Linked DNA regions of Daphnia pulex. The protein of the gene in region 2 purifies or fractionates together with the protein of the main gene of each other region. This does not show direct contact. Links are inferred from orthologs where the notes say so. Each region holds a gene or a part of one and is shown on either strand. Other genes may lie near its edges. The genes, in order: OTU domain-containing protein 5-B-like and zinc finger CCCH-type with G patch domain-containing protein-like.

Evidence for each region.
Region 1: the proteins of zinc finger CCCH-type with G patch domain-containing protein-like (region 2) and OTU domain-containing protein 5-B-like purify together in Homo sapiens (affinity purification with mass spectrometry; 3 studies listed by BioGRID, with this or other methods). This does not show direct contact. The link is inferred for Daphnia pulex from reciprocal best matches to the Homo sapiens genes ZGPAT and OTUD5.

Annotation. Positions count from the first base shown.
Region 1 is NC_060018.1:2,564,204-2,568,625, forward strand, and holds the start of OTU domain-containing protein 5-B-like, read right to left. Parts: upstream 2,828-4,422; 5' UTR 2,677-2,827; coding exon 2,545-2,676; intron 2,245-2,544; coding exon 2,084-2,244; intron 2,019-2,083; coding exon 1,775-2,018; intron 1,713-1,774; coding exon 1,557-1,712; intron 1,487-1,556; coding exon 1,330-1,486; intron 1,264-1,329; coding exon 583-1,263; intron 520-582; coding exon 284-519; 3' UTR 1-283. Other genes in the region: zinc transporter ZIP1-like, read left to right, coding at 3,516-4,422. UniProt on the Homo sapiens protein: Deubiquitinating enzyme that functions as a negative regulator of the innate immune system. Has peptidase activity towards 'Lys-48'- and 'Lys-63'-linked polyubiquitin chains. Can also cleave 'Lys-11'-linked ubiquitin chains (in vitro).
Region 2 is NC_060017.1:8,204,622-8,208,885, forward strand, and holds zinc finger CCCH-type with G patch domain-containing protein-like, read left to right. Parts: upstream 1-1,202; 5' UTR 1,203-1,229; coding exon 1,230-1,430; intron 1,431-1,492; coding exon 1,493-1,672; intron 1,673-1,748; coding exon 1,749-2,014; intron 2,015-2,072; coding exon 2,073-2,245; intron 2,246-2,304; coding exon 2,305-2,571; intron 2,572-2,639; coding exon 2,640-2,828; intron 2,829-2,895; coding exon 2,896-3,191; 3' UTR 3,192-3,397; downstream 3,398-4,264. Other genes in the region: uncharacterized protein LOC124193369, read right to left, coding at 3,398-3,910, 3,993-4,098. UniProt on the Homo sapiens protein: Transcription repressor that specifically binds the 5'-GGAG[GA]A[GA]A-3' consensus sequence. Represses transcription by recruiting the chromatin multiprotein complex NuRD to target promoters.

The DNA.
Region 1 (4,422 bases), on a different chromosome or scaffold from region 2:
CTGGACTTTGAACGCGGATGAATTTTTTTTACATGATTTGGCAGCCAGTTTGCGAGAATCGGCAGTGGAGGAGACGGGGGTACAGGCAAGTTCAATCCAATTGTGTCAGTCAGACGTCATTGCGAGTCTAAATTTAGACCGAGAATCAAAGATTAACAATTTTGCATGGAAAGGACTTTCTTCTGACTCCTCCCCTGATACACGCCTCTTGAGCTCCCTGCCACTGACGGGGGGAAAAAAAAAGGAAAGCTAACACGTAGACAAAACAACTGAGGAGTCTGGGTTAACTATTGTTAGTCCCGTTCGCACTGGTCAGGTCGTTGGTTGGATCTGTCGTCATACTGTCGCGACTGCTCTGTTCAACCGGCTGCTCCTCTTGCTGCTGTTTGGTGTTATCCATCGTCTCGTCGTCGTGAGGGTCGATGGCTTCCCTGCTCTTTTTCAACTTGTCCAGATACTCTTGTTGCGATGCAGCCAGCACTTGAGCCAAAAGTCCAGCATCCTCCCAGTCTGCTAAACCTTTAGCCAATTTTAAAGCATAAAATTAAACTGAAAATATCTGTTGATATAAACGTCAGTTACCAAACATGTCAGGAGGCAACTGTCCCAGGAATGAAGCCGTTTCAGCCAATTCAAAGCCTGGCCCCAATCCCCAATCGGGTTTACTGGTGTTCACTGGGTTTGAACTTGAAGTACCAGCGGCCGGTGACGCGATAGGGCTAGTTGATGCACCTTCACGACTACTAGAGGTTGTGGCGCTGCGTGAAGTGGACGCTCTCGGTGAAGCATTTGGAGACTTCCGCTGGTGTTCAACAAAAGATGGTTTGGGCGAATTACGAGCTGAAGAGGACGTCGTTGCTGTTGTTCTTGGGGAACGGAGCTCGCAGGCATTCGAGGAAGTGGTTGCCGAATGACCGGACCGTTGCTGCTGTCGACTGCGTCGCTCGTTTTCTCTAAGCCAGTCGAGGTAACTTTCACGGGCAACTTGCTCTTCAATAGCTTCATTTGTTGCCTCCCAATCTGTGGCTTTAACTTTATCTTCTAACATGGCTTTTTCAATTAAGGTCTCTTCACTTTGTCGCATGGCATCACCCATTAATTTCTTGTCTGCTTGACCAGGGACAAATCCTGGCAATCCCAGTCCTACTCCCACAGTGGCTTTGTACGGATCAACCAAACTGTTGTAGTGCACTCCACGATGATAAGACAATCGAATAGGTTCGTCATCAGTCTGATGTTTACCATGGAAAATATTGATCGGCTCTGTAATGGGTTAAATTTAAGTAAGCCTTCTATTTAGCGAATTTTATCGAAATGATAAGGGCTTACCGACGCTGTAGCAAAATACTTCAATATGTCTGTTGTACATTTCGCTCATAGCCTGCATCTCAATGTGATTGCCATGTACATTTTCCAATCTTTTTCTACTCACATAGGCGGCAAAGTCTTCAGTCATATACTGTGAAAAGTAGTCTCCGTTTGCGTCCTTTTATGACAAATATAAATATAGACGTAATGTTTCAAATTCATAAAAATACAACAGGACAATTACTTACAATATAGTCCATACAATGTTTGCGAACCATTGAGTGCATTTCTTGATCACCGTAGATTTGATCAGAAACGGCACGAAACAAGCAGGCTCCGTCTTCACCCATCCGCTTAATAATAAAACCTCGTTTCCGCATCTTTTTCTCAAACCATCTTTCCTTCTAATAATCATATTGGCATTGATGGAGTTCTATGAATAACACTTCTGTCTTAGGAAACATACCTGTTCCCATTCTTCTTCAGAAATGGGGACATTAGAAGATGAAGATCTTGCAGGTCCATATTCATCTCCACTGTTATATCCACTTCCTGATTCATCTTCATGGGAAGAAGGATCTGGTACTGTATGGCTTGGTGTGGGAGAACTTCCTGAGCTGGATGAAGAGGCAACACTGTGCATGGCTGAACTAGTACTAGGTATGGCAGAGGTTGATGAATTCCTATCTCTGTGCTTGGGGCGGACAGCTCTAAATAAAAAAAAAATATGCCTGTCAAATTTCAATGCAACAAAATAATAACTGAGATTAAATACCTATGGGGACTGACTCTCATTCTTCTTTTTGTTTGACTAGGACCACTCTCCAGGTCATAATCTTCATAGCGAGATGATGACTGGCTGCTGTGTCCGTGGCTGTGGGGATGGCTTGATGATGTTCTTCCAGACAGCCTAGACACACTGCAAGTTTCTGCTACCTGTAAAATTTATGTAAAATACATTTTAATAAGAATCAACAATGCTGACTTTTTGTCATCTTTGTCAATAATAGTTATCAATACTATTTGCTTTTATTCATTGAGCACTGCCTAAATGGCAAGGGTGTAATGAACAAAGCACCATTTGCTTCTTGTACATAAGTACTGGTTGTAGCTGGACCGGCCATTTTGTGTGGTTGTTTCAGATGTCAATTAGAAGATGCACTGAAACTTCCAGCCATAATTTCTTCCAAAGGCTGTTTAAATACTGGGGTATATTTATAAAAATAATTTTTTTACCTGTGGTACTGGTCCAATGTGTGAAAGGTGATTATTGCTCCCAACTGAGAGGTGTTGTAGGGGAGATCCATCAGTATTACTTTCGGATTCCGACCGTGATTGAGATGACTTCTTTTTCGGCAGAATTGTCATGATGCTTGTGCAAAGATCACTCTCTTTACCGAAACGCCCTTGAAATGTACTCTTCGACGATTTCTTTTATCTATTCAACGAAAAAGACAAATTTTCCACTGAAAGATGGCCGTGTCTATTTTTCTGTCTAAATTATTTAGAGGTTGCCATGTCGATGAATAAGCGAAAACATAGAGTTTCAAAATGTTTCAAATTTTCAATGGAATGAATTTTCGGAGTGATGCTATGAATAAAAAACATAATTTTTCATGTTTGCAAAATTGTGTTGAAAAATATTTTTTAGCTAGCTTCTAGCTAATATGTATTTTTCAATTTCCGAATTTTTGCTCGAAGAAGGCAACCAAGGATGTTAATTGTATACGAACATTCTGTCTGCTCTGCCAGTATTGTGACATTGACTTCGTTTTGATCGTGTGTCTGGAATTTTACTTTTTAAGTGAAACATTGCATAACTTCTGCCAGGAAGGAATAAAATCACCCTGCATATACCTTTCAGGTAGGTGAATTAATTATTGTAGCATTATTGTAGAACCTGTCGTAGGTTCCTTCTAGCATGAAGTAAGAAAACGAGCAGAAGATGTAAAGCACAAAAAAAATAAAAATAAATACAAATCGACCGACAGAGGGTGTTGACCGAGCTCGAGTTAATATTTCGCTCAAGGCGCAGTAAGTGCCCTTGTCTCAAGTAGTTTTGAGTTTTATAATAACGCGAAGGGACAGTGAGTAGAGTCAGTGGCATCTGGCCTGTGCGAACGCTGAAAATTACTAAACGAAAAATTCTAAAAGAGTAAACAGTTGCATCAGTCCATCAGACACATCCAAGCATAGTGGCAGTCAACATGGATAGCCAAGTACTGCTGGTTGTCACTGCTTTGATTGTGTACATTGTTATGGCAATTTGTGCTTTGATTCCAGTCTGCATTGTAGCCAAGAAATCTACCAAGGACTGCAACTTTAGTCGTGGTACAGAAAGAATAATTTCATTCTGTAATTCCATGGCTGGTGGAGTCTTCATCGCAATGTGCTTTCTAGGACTACTTCCTTATGCGCAAGACAAGACGAGGAAAGTGCTTGCAGACCTTAATATAACAACTGATTTTCCTGTTGCTGAATTCACATGCATTTTAGGATTTTTCCTTATCATGTCAGTCGAACAGCTCATTCTTCAATGCCAAAATTCAAAGAACAAGACCAATGGAGACTGGGAAGTCCCAATGGCTTTTGACGAAACTGATAGATCAAGTAAACTGAATTATTATAACACAGTCAGAGATGAAAGTGCTTCAGAAGAACTGCTTGGCAAAAAAGCATTAGAAGCAGTCTCACCAGAGAGTCCTTCGATTCTAAAGGAAATCAACATCCCCAGGATTTATCAAAATGTTCCTATGGTCACCTTTAAGGAAGAAGATAGCGATGAAGCACCTAGTCCTAAAAAAGTTCTTCAATTGGAACCAGCCCAAGGCTGCAGCCACCATCAAGTAGAAAGAATTCTCAAGAACAAATCTGGGGGAACCCTACGCCTAACTCTGCTGTACATGGCTATTAGCATTCACTCATTATTTGAAGGAATGGCCTTGGGCTTGCAGACAGAACAAATGAAAATCTTTCACCTGTTTTTCGCGATCGTGTTTCATGAAGCCCTCATCGCCTTTTCAGTTGGTATCACAATGGCAAGACAGCAATTGACTCTCCAACAAGGAGTCAAATATATTCTCATCTTCTCACTGGCTGTCCCTTTGGGGATTT
Region 2 (4,264 bases):
ATTCACACAATATTAAATAGCACACGTTACCTTTACCAAAGAATTTCTTCTTGCAATCATCAGTAATACGCAAGGCTACTCATTTCTTCTTTTTGTCACATCCATCCAGTAGATCAAAGGCTTGTTCATTATAAATTTTGCAGTACGATACCCAAACTGAAAAATAATCTTGAGGGTGTTGAAGAGGGCAAACTGTCTCTTCTCAAGCTTGAATATTCCAATCATCCAATGATCCAAAAGGAACCGAGGAAATGCTGTCCTTAGTTTTAGAGTTGAAATGAAATCCATTCATCAAAATTGCCCTGAAAATAACAGTACGTAGGTTAAAAATTTCAAATTATTTCAAATAAACTATTTTTAAAAACTTTGCAAAAGGAGAAAATACTACCTCTCCAACTCTTCTGCTTCAATTTGGTTATGATTCAGTTTCATGACTTCATTAAGAACGAGTGGCTTTAGGGCAGGATTCTTAAGTAGTCTATCTTTCAGGCTGTTGAATACAACATCCAAAGAACGAGGAATTAAACCTGCATCTTCGACATTGCCCAGCAGCATAGTGTAGGTTTTGCCTGCACTGTTGGCTCCGTAAGTGAAAAGCAGTGCATTCTTGCCCATCAAGAAATCTAGTGGACGGCTGGAGTCTGGACGCACTGCATTCGAGCACCGTCAGATGGATCTCCTATCAACTATTTGAAAGTTCACGTAAGAATAAAGCCATTAGACGAGAAAATCAAAAACAGCACTTAATCGATCAACGGAAATCACATTATTGTAAGAGCACAAAAAACTTCTGCGTCATTCAAGACTAGACACCACTCTGGAAAGAACACTTTACCGAAATTAAAATTCAACAAAATTGATGACTCATCAGTGAAACAGGAACATCTTTTCAAAGACTCTGCAAGATTAATTTTGTACAAGATTTCTTGATGGACAAGAATGCACTACTTTTCACTTACAGAGCCAACAGTGCAGGCAAAACCTACACTATGCTGGGCAATGTCGAAGATGCAGGTTTGGTCGAGTCTATTGCACCGTCGGGCTGACGGTGCTCGAACTCCAGACTCCAGCCGATCACTCGCGATTTTTTTCATTTGGCCTTCGACGTTGCCAGATATGGCCAATTACGGCCAAATTTTTGTTCAAAATAGCCAAAAATTTAGCTAAAATCATAAAAAATCGAAATCACTCATTAGCAAAAATCTAATCTAACTTTAGATTAACAGATTATGCTCTCGTCACATTTTCATTGCTTTGCAACGCTGCTAGCAGACTACCGTAGTATTTATAAACAAAACATCAAAACCTTTTCAATTCTCGACAAAGCTCGATGTCTTTCTCGCTACAGTTTTGAAGTTGACCGTTATCCTTTTAATATGTCAGAAAGCGTGCAATCACTACAGGATTCACTTGAAATATACCAAAATCAGGTAGACACGATTTTAATTTTCTAAAGAATCGCAATTTTTAAGTTGTTTTTATTCAAACGAAGTTGAAACAAATACAAGATGCATTGTTGATCGCGAATGAAGAACAAAAACCGGACTTGCAGCAAATTGTAAAAGATTTAGAAGAAATCATATTGCTTACTGAAACAAGTCTATCAAGTGCACCGGTCCAGGAAGATAATGATACCTCATCAGCAAACAGCCAAAATGAATCATACTTGGATGTTAGTTTTGGTTGACAATAAGTGGCATAATTTCAATGAATCAGCTGAAATGTTTGGTTTTATTTTTATATTCTAGGAAGAACTTTCAGCATTAGAGGGGATGAAATGTAAAGCTCCGTTTAAATATGAATGGGGTGGAGTTGGATACCACAGTGCTATTATCATTGGTTCTGAGTTAGGCGAGGATGATTTAGTTTATGTGAAAGCTGTTTTCATGCACCCCACTACTAAAAAAATGCAGCCATGTCCATATTTTTTAGAAGGAAATTGTAAATATCCAGATGAAAAGTGTCATTATTCCCATGGCTACACTGTCCGATTGGATGAAGTGCAAGATTTCAGGTGTGTATCTCATCAAATCTAAATCTAAAAGTAATTATTTTTTCTCACTTCAAAACAGTGATCCAGACTATAGCAAAATCACTGAGGGCTGCACAGTATTAGCAAAGTATAAAGATGAACTGTGGTACAGAGGAATTGTTGAAGACATCATCAAAGGAACAGAGTTTTCCGTCAAATTCCAACATTGCAATGATGTACTGTTACTCAATTTGCATGCTGTCTATCCTCTAGGTAAAGGTTACAATATTTATGGCCATAGAATTATTTCAAAATTATTTCGATTTCATCAGATGAAGACGACGAAGATTCGTCCTCTGAATCCAGTGAGGATGAAGACGACGACGACTCTCAATTTACTCCGAGATGCCTAGAAGAACATAACGTAGGAGCTGCTAAAGAAACTGGCTCGTTTGGATTCTGGGAAAAACATACTAGAGGAATTGGATCTAGACTAATGGAGAAAATGGGGTATGTCCATGGTTCTGGATTGGGAAAGGAAGGAGAAGGTAGAATCAATCCAGTAGAAGCCATGGTTTTCCCGCCGGGTCGATCACTGGGTAAGTGGCATCAGTAGATATCTTTTTCTTTTAAATTTTAATTGGTCTCTTTGTTGGTTTTTAAAAAGATCGTTGTATGGAATTGAGAGAAGAAGCCGGAAGTGGGAATATGCTTTCGGTGGAAAAGAAACTTGAACGCCAAAAAGCCAAAGCCCAGCATCGATTGCGTCAAATAGCCAACGCATCCGAACGTGGATCAGTTTTCGATTTCATCAATTCCAAGCTTACAAAAACCAGTGGACAGGATTCCAAAGGAGGTAAGAGTACCAATAACTCATCCGTTAGCAGCCCTTAGCAATCTTTATTGTTTATTTGATTGGACAGACGGGGCTTCGCATTCACGAACAAAAGTGTCTGACTTGGGGCAGCTAACTCGTGAAAAGCTGAACGTTCAAAGCCTCCAGATCGGAGAAGAAATTCGCAGAGCTGAGCGTGACATCATTAAAATGAAACAATCTCTTCAACGTCAGAGTGATCGTGGTGACCTTGCATCCGTTTCGCAAATCAGATCGAGACTGGCCGAGAAAGAAAAAGATTTAGATCGACTTCGAGCTTCTGATCGTCACATAGTGAACGAGCAAAAGCAAAGAAAGAGCTCTTCTAAATTGACCGTTTTCTAAACTGACCTTTTCCGTAATACTTCCAATAAAGATAACCGTGTAACAACTAATAATCTAAACTTCGTTTCAACTAATCACAATGATCCATAAAAATGCGATATGAATTTTGTAATCAGAAAGTAAGAAACAATAAGAGTTTCCAAACAAGAAGGTAATAACAATTATAACAACAGTTCATTTCAATGGTGGGTTAGCGGGCAGTTAAATTAATAGAATCCGTTGAAGAATGGGTAAGGTTGAGGGTAGTAACCAGTAAATCCAGGGTAAGGAGTGACGAATCGGGCAGGAGCGATGGGAGCAACTGGGGCAGTGTAAACGGCGTTGTCGGGCTGGCCGTCCTGGTTCAGGTCAACGCTTTTGTAACGGAAATCGTTGAGGAATTCAGCTGGGTTGTGGGGAAGGACGGCAACTTGACGTTTGCTGCGGGTGGACTTGACCTCAGCGGCGGGAGCAGCGGCAGCCTGGACGAAGGGGTAGGTGAAAGGAGCGCCGTAAGTGTAGGGGAATCCAGCGCGGTAGTTCAGACCGGCGTAGGGGTAGTAGTTGGGCAAGAGAGCGGGGGCTGCGGTGTAGACTGGGACATCGGGTTGGCCGTCCTTGTTCAAGTCAACGCTCTTCGACAACAAGTCATTGGTAAACTGAGGATTGTATGGGGACCATTGGCTGTAATATGGGGCAACCCATTGGGCGGAGGCGCAAGCCAAGAAGAAGCTGATGATCTATTGATTAAATTGAATTGATTGTTAATGGTAGAGAATGAAAATATATTAAAAAGAATTGGATAGAGACAAAAGAACTTACCAAGAATTTCATATTGGGATAATGCTTGTAGTGGACAGACGTTGCAGTGAACAAGTGAAGAATTTGGAATTGGGTTCTTCTTTTATATCGTTCAAAATTAGCCGTTTGTTGAGATTAGAAACTATGGTGCAATACCTTTTAGTTTAGTTGAAACACTTTGGTGCTAAGAAAGAATGAACTGCATTCTTTGTTGAGACAAAAGAGAGTGAGTGAGTAGCAAGCAAGACGACACTAGTCTCGACTCAAGAAAAGGGGGGGAGAACAAACGTTGA